3 linked regions of the Anolis sagrei genome follow. The main gene of each other region encodes a partner of the protein of the gene in region 3 in a complex. Links are inferred from orthologs where the notes say so. Each region holds a gene or a part of one and is shown on either strand. Other genes may lie near its edges. The genes, in order: VIRMA, METTL14 and CBLL1.

Evidence for each region.
Region 1: CBLL1 (region 3) and VIRMA share a complex: the UniProt entries of both Homo sapiens proteins name them as parts of the WMM complex. The link is inferred for Anolis sagrei from reciprocal best matches to the Homo sapiens genes CBLL1 and VIRMA.
Region 2: CBLL1 (region 3) and METTL14 share a complex: the UniProt entries of both Homo sapiens proteins name them as parts of the WMM complex. The link is inferred for Anolis sagrei from reciprocal best matches to the Homo sapiens genes CBLL1 and METTL14.

What each region holds. Positions count from the first base shown.
Region 1 is NC_090024.1:33,917,888-33,923,508, reverse strand, and holds the start of VIRMA (protein virilizer homolog), read right to left. Parts: upstream 4,013-5,621; 5' UTR 3,963-4,012; coding exon 3,900-3,962; intron 1-3,899. UniProt on the Homo sapiens protein: Associated component of the WMM complex, a complex that mediates N6-methyladenosine (m6A) methylation of RNAs, a modification that plays a role in the efficiency of mRNA splicing and RNA processing.
Region 2 is NC_090025.1:35,083,949-35,089,569, forward strand, and holds the start of METTL14 (N6-adenosine-methyltransferase non-catalytic subunit), read left to right. Parts: upstream 1-1,869; 5' UTR 1,870-1,933; coding exon 1,934-1,999; intron 2,000-4,654; coding exon 4,655-4,743; intron 4,744-5,621. UniProt on the Homo sapiens protein: The METTL3-METTL14 heterodimer forms a N6-methyltransferase complex that methylates adenosine residues at the N(6) position of some mRNAs and regulates the circadian clock, differentiation of embryonic stem cells and cortical neurogenesis.
Region 3 is NC_090025.1:82,852,265-82,857,885, reverse strand, and holds the start of CBLL1 (E3 ubiquitin-protein ligase Hakai), read left to right. Parts: upstream 1-1,941; 5' UTR 1,942-2,017; coding exon 2,018-2,030; intron 2,031-5,621. UniProt on the Homo sapiens protein: E3 ubiquitin-protein ligase that mediates ubiquitination of several tyrosine-phosphorylated Src substrates, including CDH1, CTTN and DOK1. Targets CDH1 for endocytosis and degradation.

The sequences.
Region 1 (5,621 bases), on a different chromosome or scaffold from region 3:
ACAAAGGTATGATAGTTTTATCCATTCATTTTGTATGACATGTGTTGTTCACATTTTGTAATAATTTTGCCATTTGTAATAAGAAAGGTAATAAAAGAAAATGACAGCTACTGAGCCCTGTTTTATCATTCAGTAAACAAAAGCTGTCCCAATAAATCTACTGTATTTTACAACTGTACTTGTTTGGTCACCTTACACAATGTAATGCATTTGGGGGGGGGGAGGCCTATGCCACTTCGTTGTTGAAAATAACCCATTTCTTTGCTCAAAAGTGAGCAGTGAATACACATTCACCCAATCCTTTTTTGCAAGGAACAAGCCAATATACTGTTGTCATGAAGCAGGGATGGAAGGGCCTAGTTTATAGTAATACGTTTAGTGAACAGATCGCTGATAGCATAATGCAAGTTTAAAATTTGCTGAGTATGCAATTGATAACAGTCAGAAGACATGCTACATACTACAGCATTCAGCCTGGTTATACTTGCACAATTTAATATACTGAAATCCAAATAAATACTCATAACATGAATAATCTGGCATGTTTACCTTTCAACAATAAACGAAACACATTTAACGGAACAACTCTATTTGTAAACAATGTATTTGATGTTCATGAGGATATGGGCACCTACATTCTAGAAATTAATTCTCCCATGTATGCATTTTGCTGTGAGAAGAGTTGTTTAAGTGGCTACACACTTAAAACCCTAATGATCCCCAAAGCATCTTAAGTCATTTTATTGTTGCCCCTACCTCAACACTGGACCAAGCAGAAGATTTCCATTAGTTCCATTGTTAAAGCAAAGAGCTGCAACATCACTTAAGAGTTCCTTTTATAATTCTGCAACACTTGCCTACTACTGGAACCTCAAATTACAATTCTGTATAAAATTGCCATTCCTGTACACGCATACACTGCTTGCACAGTCAAAGTGCACAGTTTGTGGCACTTCTTTTCTACTGAGAATCCTTAATCTTGTTAAGAATGCATATTTGAGGGTGGGATCAGAACACTGTGCTATTCTGTACATTGGGCTACGTCTGTACCAAGTTTGGAACCTCCAATTGGTTCAATCAAAGTAGGCGGATGAGTTTTTTGTTATTTGTTCAGTCGCTTCCGACTCATTGTGACCTCATGGATCAGCCCACGCCAGAGCTCCCTGTCGGCCGTCACCACCCCCTGCTTCTTCAGAGTCAAGCCAGTCATTTCAAGGATACCATACATCCATCTTGCCCTTGGTCGGCCCCTCTTTCTTTTTCCTTCCATTTTCCCCAGCATAATTTTCTTCTCTAAGCTTTCCTGTCTTCTCATTATGTGGCCAAAGTACTTCATCTTGGCCTCTACTATCCTTCCCTCCAATGAGCAGTCGGGCTTTATTTCCTTAAAAAGCCAGGGGAGCTTTTGCACAGTTAAAGCTTGTGCGCCAGCTGCGCCTGTACCTTGAGAAGTCTGATCTGGCAACAGTAGTCCATGTTCTTGTTACATCCTGAATAGATTACTGCAACACACTCTACATGGGGTTGCCTTTGAAAAATTTTCGGAAACTTCAACTAGGCCAACGGGCTGCAGCCAGATTACTAACTGGAGTGACATACAGGGAGCACACCACCCCCTTGTTGTGTCAGCTCCACTGGCTGCCAATCCACTTCCGAACTCAATTCAAAGTAGCTGGTTTTGACCTATAAAGCTCTATACGATTCTGGCCCAGCTTACTTGTCCGAACGCATCTCCCTCTACGTCCCGCCTTGCAGTTTAAGATCATCTGAGGAGACTTGCTCTCGCTCCCGCCAGCATCACAAATACATCTGGCGGGGACGAGAGATAGGGTCTTCTCGGCTATAGCCCCCCACCTGTGGAACTCGCTTCCCAACAAGGTAAGATCCGCTTCATCCCTCTTGTCTTTTAGGAAGAAATTGAAGTCGTGGTTCTGGGACCAGGCTTTTGGACAGCAGGCATAAATAGGATATGGAATTTGACTGGAATGATGATATGATGGTTAATACTGTTTTTATTGTTTTAATTAATGTTCTACTTATTGTTTTAATTGTTGTTATATTTAATGGCATCAAATTGTGCCAAATGTAAGCCCTCCTGAGTCCCCCCTTCAGGGATTGAGAAGGACGGGGTAGAAATACTGGAAATAAATCTATATAAATAAAAATGTAATGTTCGTTTGTGGGATTAACAGCACTCAAAAACCACTGGACAAATTGACACCAAATTTGGACACAATACACCTAACAACCCATTGTATGTCCTTCACTCATAAAACACTAAAAACACAGCAGAAGGGACTTAAAAAGCCCCAAAAAGCTAAATGATGAAAAGCTAAATGACAATATAGAAAAAAGGGAAGAAAAGGGAGGGAAGGGAAGAAAAAAGAAAGAAAGGAAAGGAAAGGAAAAGAAAGAGGGAGGGAGGGAAAGAAAGAAAGAAAGGGAGAAGGAAGCATGGAAGCAAAGAGAGAACGAAGGAAAAATAGAGGTAGAGAAGGAAGAAAGGGGAGAAAGTGGGAGGAAAAGAAAAAGGGGGAAGGAAGGTTAGAGAAGGAAGGAAGGAGAGAAGGAAAGAAAAAAGGGAAAGAAGGAAGGAAAGAGGGAGCAAAGGAAGGGGGGAAGATGTACAGAAAGAGGAAGGGAAGGAAAAAAAGGGAAGAGAGAAGGAAGAAAACAGACAGCAGAAGAGAAAGAAAAAGGGGAAAGGAAGGAAAGAGATAGAGAAGGAAGGAAGAAGAGAAGGAAAGATGGGAAGGAAGGAAGGAAGGAAAGAGGGAGTGAAGGAAGGAGGGAAAGAAGGAGAGAAAGAGGGATGGTTGGCCACAGCAAAGCGTGGCGGGTACAGCTAGTAAATAAATAAAGTATGGACTGCTTGGATCTTCTCGCGGTCCAAGGCAGACGAGATACAGGGAGCATATTCCACTGTCAGGAAATGTAGGTGGAATCATAGAGTTGGAAGAGACCTCATGGGCCATCCAGTCCAACCCCCTGCCAAGAAGCAGGAATATTGCATTCAAATCACCCCTGACAGATGACCATCCAGCCTCTGTTTAAAAGCTTCCAAAGAAGGAGCCTCCACCACACTCCGGGGCAGAGAGTTCCACTGCTGAACGGCTCTCACAGTCAGGAAGTTCTTCCTAATGTTCAGATGGAATCTCCTCTCTTGTAGTTTGAAGCCATTGTTCTGCATCCTAGTCTCCAAGGAAGCAGAAAACAAGCTTTCCCCCTCCTCCCTGTGGCTTCCTCTCACATATTTATACATGGCTATCATATCTCCTCTCAGCCTTCTCTTCTTCAGGCTAAACATGCCCAGCTCCTTAAGCCGCTCCTCATAGGGCTTGTTCTCCATACCTTTTATCATTTTAGTCGCTCTCCTCTGGACACATTCCAGCTTGTGCTTGGAATGTGCATATGGGATATATTGAGTATGGTGATCAGATCATGATATGAATAAACATAACAGTTTAAATAATGCACCAGTAAGGCCTTTTCGCGAACCACCATGAGAATTTCGGGGGGGCTGAAGCTCCTCAAGCCCCCCCCCCCCCGGCTACATGCCTGGCCTGAGGCTGTGGGAGTTGGAGGTCCAAAACACCTGGAAGGCCCAAGTTTGCTCCTGCCTGGTAGAGATGCATCCTGAAATAGTAATCTCGACTCAGAGCTAAGGCTAAGAATGCTGCAAATAAATCCCGCCTGTACACAAATATTGAAGAGGAGGAGACAAGAGGGAGGGAAACTCTGCTCGTCTTTGAAGGAGCGAGGCAGAAGGATGGGCGCTGGCCCCGCCCCGAGAGGCGCAGGAAGAGGACCCCCGGCAGGGGGAGCCCACACTGACAGGGCCCCGCCGCCCTCCCCTTCCTCCCAAAGAGAGGAGAGATGCCTCCGCGACCCCCCGTTACCTCCGTGCTCTGGTGCTTGAAAGTGTCTAAAAATAGAAGCTCCGTTGTTGTGTCCGCCGCCATCTTGCGTCGGCGGACGCGCCGAGGAGACAAGCGCTTCCGGGGCCAGGGAAAGGTCCGCGCATGCTCGCCATCGCTGCTTCAACGCAGGGCTGCGCATGCGTGACATCTCTGCGTCCCTTCTGCGGTGGCGAAGGGGCTTTGCACTCTCTGTATTTATGTCTGAGATGCGCCAAGCGAAGGGAGGCGATTAAATGGCTCGGGGAGTTGTTATCCAGCCATTCTTAACAGGAACAAGTAATATATATTTATATTTATCGTGTCATCAGCAACCATACCATTATATTACAATTCTAACAGAGCAAAACAAACACACAGATTAAAAAGAAGAAGAAAAACACAGATTTTGCAAACTTGGTAGCTGGTTAAATGTCCTTTGACCAGTATCTGGCCCCTTGGAGTGCCTCTGGTGTTGCCGCAAGGAGGTCCTCCATTGTGCATGTGGCAGGGTTCAGGTTGCATTGCAGCAGGTGGTCAGTGGTTTGCTCTTCTCAACACTCACGTCGTGGATTTCACTTTGTAGCCCCATTTCTTAAGATTGGCTCTGCATCTCGTGGTGCCAGAGCGCAGTCTGTTCCAAGTCGCCCAGTCTTCTGTGTGCCCAGGAAGGAGTCTCTCATTTGGTATCAGCCATTGGTTGAGGTGCTGGGTTTCAGCCTGCCACTTTTGGACTCTCGCTTCCTGAGGTGTTCCAGCGAGTGTCTCTGTAGATCTTAGAAAACTATGTCTAGATTTAAGTCATTGGCGTGCTGGCTGATACCCAAACGGGATGAGCTGGAGATGTCTCTGCCTTGGTCCTTTCACTATTGGCTGCTACTTCCCGGCGGATGTCAGGTGGTGCAATACCGGCTAAGCAGTGTAATTTCTCCAGTGGTGTAGGGCGCAGACACCCCGTGATAATGCGGCATGTCTCATTAAGAGCCACATTCACTGTTTTAGTGTGGTGAGATGTGTTCCACACTGGGCATGCATACTCAGCAGCAGAGTAGCATAGCACAAGGGCAGATGTCTTCACTGTGTCTGGTTGTGATCCTCAGGTTGTGCCAGTCAGCTTTCGTATGATGTTGTTTCTAGCGCCCACTTTTTGCTTGATGTTCAGGCAGTGTTTCTTGTAGGTAAGAGCACAGTCCAAAGTGACTCCCAGGTATTTGGGTGTGTTGCAATGCTCCAGTAATAACAAGTAATAACAACCACGAAAGCAACTATATAACATGTAATATTGATAATATTATGTGATACAATATAATACTAATAATAATAATACGATATTATAATTATATATTTTACATGTAATATTACATTTCAGTATGTATGTGTGTTGATATAGATACATACATAAATACACACAACAAACACATATTGGAATGCATATTCCTATCCTCAAGATGTATTCCAGTATATATGCATGTATGTATCTGTAATGCAGTATGTATGTTTTTGTCTAGAGATTTACATACACATATACATTGGCCATCATTTATTATTATTTATTTATTTAACAGTTTTGTATACCGGTCTTCTCACCTCTCTTGAGGGACTCAGACCGGTTTCCAACCATAATATCACATACAATCAATAAAACATCATAATACATATGACAGTAAAACATTAAAACAGCAATTACAATCAATAATTATAATGGTCAGTCGTCACACTAAAATC
Region 2 (5,621 bases), about 48 Mb from region 3:
CTGATTTCTGGAGCTTTTAAATTCTGGTAGCCAAATTTTGTGCATTTTTATTATTTCCTCCTTTCTGTTGAAACTGTCCACATGCTTGGGGATTTCTGTGTAGTTTGGCAAGGTGGTTGTTAGAGTAGGTCAGTATTGGGTTGTTGTAGGGTTTTTTTTTTTTTTGGGCTATATGGCTATGTTCTAAAGGCATTCTCTCCTGACGTTTCACCTGCATCTATGGCAGTGGTTCTCAACCTGTGGGTCCCCAAATATTTTGGCCTTCAACTCCCAGAAATCTTAACAGCTGGTAAACTGGCTGGGATTTCTGGGACTTGTAGGCCAAAACACCTGGGGACCCGAAGGTTGAGAACCACTGATCTATGGCAAGCATCCTCAGAGGTAGTGAGGTCACTACCTCTGAGGATGCTTGCCATAGATGCAGGCGAAACGTCAGGAGAGAATGCCTCTAGTCTAGAACATGGCCATATAGCCCAAAAAAACCTACAACAACCCAGTGATTCCGGCCATGAAAGCCTTCGACAATACATAGGTCAGCATTTCTGACAATACAGAGAAGCCATTGAAATCCACAAGCATGTGGACAATTTCAACAGAAAGGAGGAAACCATGAAAATCAACAAAATCTGGCTACCAGTATTAAAAACCTCTAAAATTAGGAAATAAAGAGGAACACTAAAAAAGCAGGCAGGGAGAATCCAGAGAAAATTAATCAGGGCCAGATAATACTTCCTGCTAAAGGATTCCCCCAGACAGGAAGCAGCCAGGCTTTGAAGCTGCAAGGCCATTAAATGCTAATCAAGGTGGCCAATTGTAACATTCACACTTGCCTCCAACAGATAAAAGAGTTGGGTTTTTTGAGCTATATGGCCATGGTCTAGAGGCATTCTCTCCTGATGTTTCGCCTGCATCTATGGCAAGCATCCTCAGAGGTAGTGAGGTCTGTTGGAACTAGGAAAAAGGGTTTATATATCTGCGGAATGACCAGGGTGGGACAAAGGACTCTTGTCTGCTGGAGCCAGGTGTGAATGTTTCAACTGACCACCTTGATTAGCGTTTGATTGCCTGACAGTGCCTGGAGCAATCTTTTGTTGAGAGGTGGTTAGATGTCCTTGTTTATTTCCTCTCTGCTGTTTTGCTGTTGTAATTTTAGAGTTTTTTTTAAATACTGGTAGCCAGATTTTGTTCATTTTCATGGTCTCTTCCTTTCTGTTGAAATTGTCCACATGCTTGTGTATTTCAATTGCTTCTCTGTGTAGATTGACATGGTGGTTGTGAGAGTGGTCCAGCATTTCTGTGTTCTCAAATAAAATGAGTCGCCCTTGGGCTGAGAATTGCGGTATATAAGCGCAGCAAATAAATAAATAAATAAATAAGCATCCTCAGAGGTGTGAGGTCTGTTGGAAATAGGACAATGGGTTTATATATCTGTGGAATGGCTGGGGTGGGGCAAAGAGCTCTTCCTTGCTAGAGCTAGGTGTGAATGTTTCAACCTTCATTAGCATTTGAAGGCCTGCCTGAGCCAGGGAAAATCTCCTGCTGAGACGTGTTAAGCTGTGCCTGGTTGTTTCCTCTCTGCTTTTTTTTTTTTACTTGGGTGATGGTTGGGTGAAGAGACAAGAGCTCTTTCTCCCACCCTGGGCATTCCACAGATATATAGAAACCCCACTTGCCTAGTTTCCAACAGACCTCACAACCTCTGAAGATGCTTGCCATAGATGTGGGCGAAACGTCGGGAGAGAATGCTTCTGGAACAGGGCCATACAAACCGAAAAACATATAGCAACCCAGAAGAACTCTTTGCATACATTAACATGACGGTGTGCTGTTTTTCGTACGTCTATGTTCACAGCCAAAGACAGAGAGGAAGTGACGTCTCAGCTGTGCGTCCGTGAGGCGCCCATTTCTGAACCCGCGCGGCCGTCGGTTGAGGATGAATAGCCGGCTGCAGGAGATCCGGGAGAGGCAGAAATTGCGCCGGCAGCTCCTGGCTCAGCAGGTAACGGGAGAACACCGGGTTGGACTCCGTCCTTCAAGGTTTGGGCCTCCGCGCATGCGCCCTGGCCTCGGAGGGGGAGGCTGACGGATGGATCGCCTCCCTTCCCACTGGTCAGCGCCTGTGACGTAGAACGCGGGAGAGGCTCTGCGTTGCCATGGAGACTGAAGGCCAAAGGGTGTTTCAGTTCTGTCAAGTCTCACACTCTCAGGCCCCTTCCACACAGCTGAGTAAAATCCCACATTGTCTTCTTTGAACTGGGATATATGGCAGTGTGGACTCAGATAACCCAGTTGTGGGGTTTTCTGCCTTGATATTCTGGGTTATATGTCTGTGTGGAAAGGCCCTCAGTCTCAGAAGGCCATGGCAAACCCAGGTTTTCAAGAAATGCCTCCCATTTTATTATATTTTTCCCTTTTTTGTTAATTTTTAAAGTATTTTTTCATATTATATACTTCACATAACGGCACTCCATGCAAGTCATGGTGGCCACATGACCTTGCAGGTGTCTACGGACAACGCCGGCTCTTCAGCTTAGAAATGGAGATGAGCACCACATCCCAGAGTTAATAATAATAATAATAACACTTTATTTGTACCTCGCTACCATCTCCCAAGGGACTCAGTGCGGCTTACATGAGGCCGAGCCCAAATACAACAATACAAGCAATAATAACAACAGTACAAGCAATTAAAATAAAACATGGACAATACAATAATGCAACATTAACAATAAGACCACACGATTAAAAACTATGGGAAGGCCAAATGTAAAATTAAAATTGAAAATAATGCTGGAACTTGGGCGAAAAAGTGATGGGGCGTTTGTGGAAAACATACAAGCAGACCTAAAAATGTGGAGGACAAAGTGCTATGGGATCATTATTCTGGGAAGGCACACTGAACAGCCACGTCTTCAAGCTTCACCTAAAGACTGCCAGAGTTGGGGCCTGCCTAATGTCGTTACGAAGTGAGTTCCAGAGTTGAGGGGCCACCACCGAGAAGGCCCTCTCTCTCATCCCCACCAAGCAGGGCCTCTCCAGATGAACGGAGAGATCGTGTGGGTTCGTATACAGAGATGTGGTCACGCAGGTAGGCGGGTCCCAAACCATTCAGGGCTTTGTAGGTAAGAACCTGCACCTTGAATTGGGTCCGGAAAATGAATGGCAACCAGTGGAGCACCTTGAACAGGAGGGTTGACCGCTCCCTTAAGGAGCCCCAGTTATCAACCTGGCCGCCTGTTGGACCATCTGGAATTTCCGAGCTGTTTTCAAGGGCAGCTCCACGTAGAGTGCATTACAGTAGTCCAATCTGGAGGTCCAGTCGTTGGACACAACTGGACTTACTGTCAGGGGAGACCTTTACCTTTACCTATACTACACATAATACAGCAATGCACCACAGTCTAAAAATTTGCATTATCTCGCATCTCTTCCCTGCCCAAGGTGACTCTACCAATTACTTCCCTGTCAGTCTTCTTACTAATATATTAGCCTCTATTTTCCACGCTTTAATTCATATTTGTACAATTCCAACGAAGTCTTCGGATGGTGGAGGCTCCTTCTATGGAGGATTTTAAACAGAGGCTGGATGACCATCTGTTGGGAGTGCTTTGAACCTGATTGTCCTGCTTCTTGGCAGGGGATTGGACTGGATGACCCACGAGGTCTCTTCCAACTCTATAATTCTATGATACTTGAGCACAAGCTTTGTAAGCAATACCATTATACCAGGAATTGGGCATTAGTTGAATTCAGTGATGTTATTCTAAGTTACCTGCCAGACTTATTACCTTGCTTTAGCATGGGGGCTGTTCTCCTAACATTTGCTGGCCTACTTTTACACTTGAGGACAGAAATTATTGAAGTGAACATGGTTGACACTGGTATACAGTTATTTTTTATTACTTTTTTCATGTCGGTGGCAACTTGAGAAACAGCAACTCACTTCTGGTCTTGAGAGAATTGGCCGTCTGTAAGGACGTTGCCCAGGGGGAAACCCGGATATTTTACCATCCTGTGGGAGGCTTCTCTCATGTCTCTGCAAGAGAAGCTAGAGCTGACAGATGGTAGCTCACCCCGCCCCCTGGATCTGAACCGCTGACCTTTCGGTCAGCAGCCCTGCCAGTACAAGGGTTTAACCCATTGCACCATGGGGGGGGGGGGCTCCACATTTTTGTTACTATGGCTGCTGTATGGAATCCTTGACTGAGATCAGCAGAGTTGCTTTGGGTATAAATACAACATTCGTCCTGTTGCTTAATTTCCCTTACGTGGACTTCATTGTTATTATGTTATATTGTTTATGTACCTTGTTGTATTTATATGCTTGTACTTTTGAATGCTTTTGTGAGCCTCCCCAAGTCCCTTTGGGGAAATGGTGGTGAGGTATAAATAAAGTATTATTATTATTATTATTAGTATTAGTATTAGTATTAGGAAAACAGGCACACATGGATTTCACTGATGGGAGTTTAATCATCTGCAGAAACATTTCATTGGATTTCTCACAAGGAGAATGAGAAATTATGATAAATTTATATTATAAAGGTTTTAGGTATGTAATGTTTGTATTAAAGCTTCTCTTATTTGTTTCTATAGTAATAGTATTTATTTCTTTGTTTTTTTTTTTGTTTTTTTTTTTTTGCTTTTCTCTTAGTTGGGGGCCGAAAGTGCTGATAGTATTGGTGCAGTGTTGAATAGCAAAGATGAGCAGAGAGAGATTGCTGAAACAAGAGAAACTTCCAGGTTTGTACTGAAATAAGTTGTGAAACTTCCCATAACAGTAGTATTCTCAAGGGGGAGAAGATGGAAAGAATACAAATTAGCTTGAATTTATTTTGTTTTTGACTGGTTTAGGAAAAGTTGAACTCTTTTCCCCCATTGTAGGGAGGAAAGAGTTGAAACATAAAATGTTTGTCTCTTCTCAGGACCCTTCCACAGCCATATAACCCAAAATATCAAGGCAGAAAATCCCACACTGATTTGAGCTGGGTTATCTGAGCCCACTCTCATATATTCCAGTTCAAAGCAGATAATGTGAGCTTTTATTCAGCTGTGTGGAAGGTGCCTCTGTCCTTAAGTTTGTTGACAAAATGGGAAGGATATGGGTGATAGTTAAAATGTTCATCACTTAGCATCTCTGAATTATTTACAAATATATTAGGTGCCCTAATTAGTTCTGTAATTTGTTTTTAGTGTTGTTTGCTGTCTTGCACATTATTTTTGTGTAAAGACAGAACAGAAATTTAATATCAACACTAATTGCATTTCTTTTATACCATGTGGAATTTATTTTAGAATATTGAAAGATATACATTTCTAATATGTAATTATCTTAATGCAGGATATATTTAAAGCAATCAATGGTACATTATTATTCAGAAAGGGTCAGCTTATACATTTTCCCAGCTCAGGATATGTTATGGGTAATGTAAGAAGACAAAACCTTTGGTTGCTGCTTCCCTCTCCTCTTGTGTAGATGGACAACATAGATGTACAGAAACCAGCACAGTTAAAGGAACAAAAAAAACTCTATCCCCTGTTTCCCTTGTGTACAGCTCTGATTGGGTTGTCTAGTGTTTGTTTGTATGTTTTTTTAAAAAGGCATGTACCATGGAAAAAGG
Region 3 (5,621 bases):
ATCTACACTCCTAAGTTTTTTTAAATAATTATGCCAATTACTTTCAAATAATATAAAGTAGTTTTTACTTTAAAAAATCTTCAAACATCTGAACTATATATATATAATTAAAGGCTTGATAAATTTAAAAAAGAGATAAATAAGAATAAACCAGATGCACCGTGTTGTTTATTCGTTCAGTTGCTTCTGACTCTTCGTGACCTCATGGACCAGCCTACACCAGAGCTCCCTGACAGCCGTCACCACCCCCAGCTCCTTCAAGGTCAAGCCAGTCACTTCAAGGATACCATCCATCCATCTTGCCCTTGGTCAGCCCCTCTTCCTTTTTCTTTCCATTTTCTCCAGCATCATTGTCTTCTCTAAGCTTTCCTGTCTTCTTATTATGTGGCTAAATACTTCATCTTGGCCTCTAATATCCTTCCCTCCAGTGAGCAGTCGGGCTTTATTTCCTGAAGTATGGATAGGTTGGATCTTCTCCCGGTCCGAGGCACTCTCAGAAATTTCCTCAAACACGACAGTTCAAAAGCATCTATCTTCCTTCGCCCCGCCTTCCCTATGGTCCAGTTCTCACATCCATATGTTATTATGGGGAATACCATTGCTTTAACTACGCGGATCTTGGTTGCCAGTGTGATGTCTCTGCGCGACCGCATCTCTGTCTACGAACCCAAGTGCAGCAAGTGTAGTTACTGGGATGTATAGTTCACCTACAATCAAAGAGCATTCTGAACTCCACCAATAATGGAATTGAACCAAATATGGCACACAGAACTCCCACGACAAACAGAAAATATATATCAATGATTGGTTGGGGGGGGGGGGGCACCAAAATACTGTTTGCTTACTGTTGAAAATTACCTAGGGCCGCCTCTGGCCGTATGCCTTTCCCAATCTTGCACCATAGGAAGGAAAAAAAATACACGTCTTTCCTTACTGCCTTTCCCTTTAAAACAGTGTTTCTCAACCTTTCTAATGGCGCGACCCCTTAGTACAGTTCTTCAGGTTGTGGTGACCCCCAACCATAAAATTATTTTTGTTGCTACTTCAGAACTGTAATTTTGCTACTGTTATGAACCTTAATGTAAATATCTAATATGCAAGATGTAATTTGGCACAAATACACCAAAATTTGAATACTTGTGGGGCTGGGGTGTGTGTGATTTTGTCATTTGTCTGCCTCATGTTTTTAAAATGTGTCGTTTTGCTTTTTTGAGTTATTTATTGTTTTGCTGTTGTTGTTTTATGGTGTTATTGGGCTTGGCCTCTTGTAAGCCACACCGAGTCCTGCGGGAGATGGTAGCAGGGTTTAAGAACAATAAATAAAAATAAATAATAAATTTAGGAGTTGTAGTTGCTGGGATTTATAGTTCACTTCAATCAAAGAGCATTCTGAATTCCACCAGCACTCTCATGACCAACAGAAAATGCTAGAAGGGTTTGGTGGGCACTGACCTTGAGTTTTGGAGTTGTAGTATACTTACATCCAGAGAGCACTGTGGACTCAAACAGATGGATCTGGACCAAACTTGGCACGAATACTCAATATGCCCAAATATGAACATTGGTGGATTTTGGAGAAAACAGACCTTGACATTTGGGAGTTGTAGTTGCTGGGATTTATAGTTCATCTACAATCAAAGAGCATTCTGAATTGATGGAATTGGGACAAACTTCCCACACAGAACCCCCATGACCAACAGAAAAAACTGTGTTTTCTGATGGCCTTTGCTTACCCCTCTGACACCACCTCCCAGGTTGAGAAATGCTGCTTTAAAACAAGTCATTCTTCGTGCACCACAACCTGGAAGTTTCACTCCTTACTAAAATCCATAGCCAGAGTTCAATTTCTTCCCAGAGGAGAAAAAAAAACTGCCTGAAGAAACCCGCTAGTGTCCTCTGCCGCTGGGAATCTATATTTTTGCCTGTCTCTATGTTCGCGCCCCTCGCGCGCTCTTTCCGGCCCCGCCCACCCGCTCGCGCCAGGACACTTCCCGTCCAGAGTGCCCTGCCTCGAATCATGGACCACAATGGTGAGCGCTTGGCGGGCGTTGGAAAGGAGGGAAGGCCCCTTTTTCGGAAGACCCGACGCATTCCCCCGCTTTCGCCCCAGCCTCTCTCCCTCTCTCGTCGTCCACAAGCCGCCCAATTTGAGCGGGAGGGAGGCCTGAGGGAGCGGCGAGGCCTTTAGAAGCGTTGAGGCCTTGTTTGAAAAGAGCGGCCGGCGGGGGGGGGGGGGGGGGGGAGGTGTGAAGGAGGCTGCGCAGGCGCACTTGGGCCTTCGTGACTTGAGGCCTAGCGCGCTTTGAGGGGATTTGGGTTTTCCCATGATAAGGAGAAGAGGCTCAATTTGAGCGGGACGAGGCCTTCAGAGAATAGCAAAGTCCGCGCTAGGCCTCTTCCTCCTTGCCGTGTCTGCCTTTCCTTACCCCACTGCTTCTTTTTGCCTCCCTCTTCTGCCCTGGGAGTTCTAAGTTTTACCAGGCATTTCGCCTTCTCTGCCACTTAGGCAGAAAAAAAAATATTGTGTCAGGAGCAAACCGAACAGTTGTATTTCATTTTTTATTTGCTTGCTTGCATGCTGCAAGTCGCTTCTGGTTGCATCTGTGGCAAGAGAAGTCTACGAAGACGTTGCTCAGGGGACGCCCGGATGTCTTGCAATCCTGCGAGGAGGCTTCTCTCATGTCCCATGTCATGTCTCTCATGTCTCATGTCAGCAAGCGAGAGTCCAAAAGTGGCAGGCTCAAACCTAGCACCTCAATCCGTGGGTGACTCCCTTCTGGGCACACAGAACACTGGGCGACTTGGAAGGTGCTGAACAGACTGTGCTCTGGCACCATGAGATGCAGAATACTATAATATAAATGGGTTCCTGAATCATCATCATCATCATCACTTTATTTCTTAATTAGTCGCTCTCCACCAAGGTGCTCCGATCGACTTACAATTTAAAACAGTTTATACACAATATAAAACATTCAATATAAAAACATTCAATATAAAAACATTCAACATAAAAACATTCAACATAAAAACATTCAGCAGTGACTATGGCAAAATTTGATCCGGTTACTTAAATGCACAGCCAAACAGCCAAGTATTGAGCGCCTTTGCAAAAGGTTGCAACTCCGACATTGCTCTAATATATGGAGGCAATGAGTTCCACAGAATTGGAGCATTGATCGAAAAAGCTCTACGCCTTGTAGCTTCCAAATGTGCCTCCCTAGGAGCCGGTATGTATAGGAGATTTTCCTGGGTGGATCGAGGTGGCCGCTGATGGGGAAAAGGAAAGATTGAATGCATACAACAAAAATACCACTTGTATAACATAAACAATAATATAATTCAACAACAGTATATAAACATGCTGCACTGTTAACCTCACAGCGACAACAAACAACATGGTGCAGATTTTTAGTACAGTCATATCTTCTTATAAGTAGCTTGTGGATCAGCCGTCCACGATCGGTTTCGGCCTACCTCAGGCCTTCCTCTGGTGGACTCAAATTAATGTACAAATCAATGTTTTACTCCAGTAGCATACATATAGAACATCTGTATCATTAAATATCATAAGTTACAACACATTTAAGTACTTACAAAGTTATACACTATAACTTATGATTCTATGAGTGCTAGTGCCTCAGCATACAACAAGTCCCTTTATTTATCGTGTCAGAAGCAAATTGGGAATACAGTTATAATGCATAAAATACTACAAGCAGTTAAGTATTTGAATGTGTCTGGTGTCGCTGAAAGGAGGTCCTCTAATGTGGTACGGTCCAAGGTCTTTCGCCTTCTCTGTCAAAAGGTGCTGGTGCCTAACCAAACTACAAATCTCAGGTTTTACAACAGCACCCTTAGTTTGCAAAAGTTTATTCATGGATCAGTATTCAAAGGGATCTAGTAGCACCTTTGAGATTAACTGAGAAAAAAAGTTGGTAGCATAAACATTTATAAACTGAAGTCTACAAAAGCTTATGCTTCTGACATCTTTCTTTCAGTCTCTTAAGGTGCTGCAAGATCTTTGTGTCTAATCTTACCAGTACGAGAGATGATTGATTGTTGTTGTGTGCCTTCAGTTCGTTTCCACCCTGAGTTAACCCTATCACCTGGTTTTCTTGGCAAGCTAAGAGGAGGTGTGCCATTGCCTTCCTCAGGCTGAGAGAGTGGGAATTCACCAAATTCACCAGTGAGTTTCCAGGCTGAATGGGGATTTGATCCTTGATCTCCAGACACTCAAAACACTGCTTCAAGCTGGACCATAGCAGGAATTAAAAGTTCAATGTTGGGGGTCACAACAATTTGGCAGCAGTAAATGAATGCCACCTAGTTGCACAAATTTGTCTTGTGGTGAAAACAAGGATTGATGATAGTTTCAGTTGAGATACCTTTCCCCTTCATAATTCTTTTAGAAGTAAATTTCCCTTCTGAGGGGAAGGTTTTTTTCACTTCCTGTTCTCTTAACTATGAGTTGTTTGTAAATTGAACGTTAGCAACCAGGGGACTGCCTGTACACATGAGTCTCTGTATTAAAATATTTAATTGAAATAGCTTCCTTCACTAGAATACATTTATGGTTTCTGTTGACTAAGTGGTTTAGTAGCAACACTTGCGTCTGGGAATTTCCTGTGAGACAAGTATTCTACCATAATTGGAGACAAACCCATTTTAAGAATGTACACAAAATAAAGGTCTGACAGCATCTACAGTGTAGATTGAATACAGTTTGACACCACTTTAACCGCCATGACTCAATGTGATGGAATCATTGGAGCTGGAATTTTACAAGATATTTAGCCTTTTGTGTCAGTAAGTGCTGTGCCTCTCCAGACTATAAGTCCCAGGATTCCTTAGCATCCAGCGATGGCAATTAAAGTGGTGGCAAACTGCAATAATTCCACAGTGTAGATGAACTCAAAGTGTGCTTATTTGTTAGAACACAAACAAAAGCTTGATTCATATTAAATTTATAAGGTACATGCCTGAAACTGTCCAAAGTGTGTCAGTTAACGTGAGACAAATGTATGTGATTAGGCTGTGTAATTTGCATATTGATATTAAAGGCCCACAAACGGGTGACATTCAGAGTCTGTGTATGATGTGTATGGAAAAATTCCTATTAACATAGGAACTTCGTATGAGTCACTTTGTTGAGGTTTGTGGTGGATATATGTTGGTGTAAGGTATGCAAGCTCTTGTAAAATTACTATACACCATTTCATTTTTTAAAAAAGTATACTGTATTAAGTATCTAGAAATACTATTCAAATAAAGACACCTAATTTGCATTTGAGTTTGATGGCAGTGGTGTGGTTGGGATGGTGCCATCCAAGGCCTCCCCCTGGTGGCTTATGCAACCCTCTTAGGCCCCATCTACATTGCCATCTAATGCAGTTTCAGACTCTCCCCTGAAGAGGACCCAAAGTGGCTTAATAGTGTACGTATGATTCTTTGTTAATCAGATTTTTTTTTAGAAATCTTTTGTGCTTCTTTGTAAATATATAGGTCTAATATGAGTAATGCCTTATGGAATTAATAAATAGTTTAGAATTTTGTATGGAATCAAATGCTGTGTGTGGTGCAAAAGGAAAAAAATTGAACTATTTCTGTTTACATTTTTA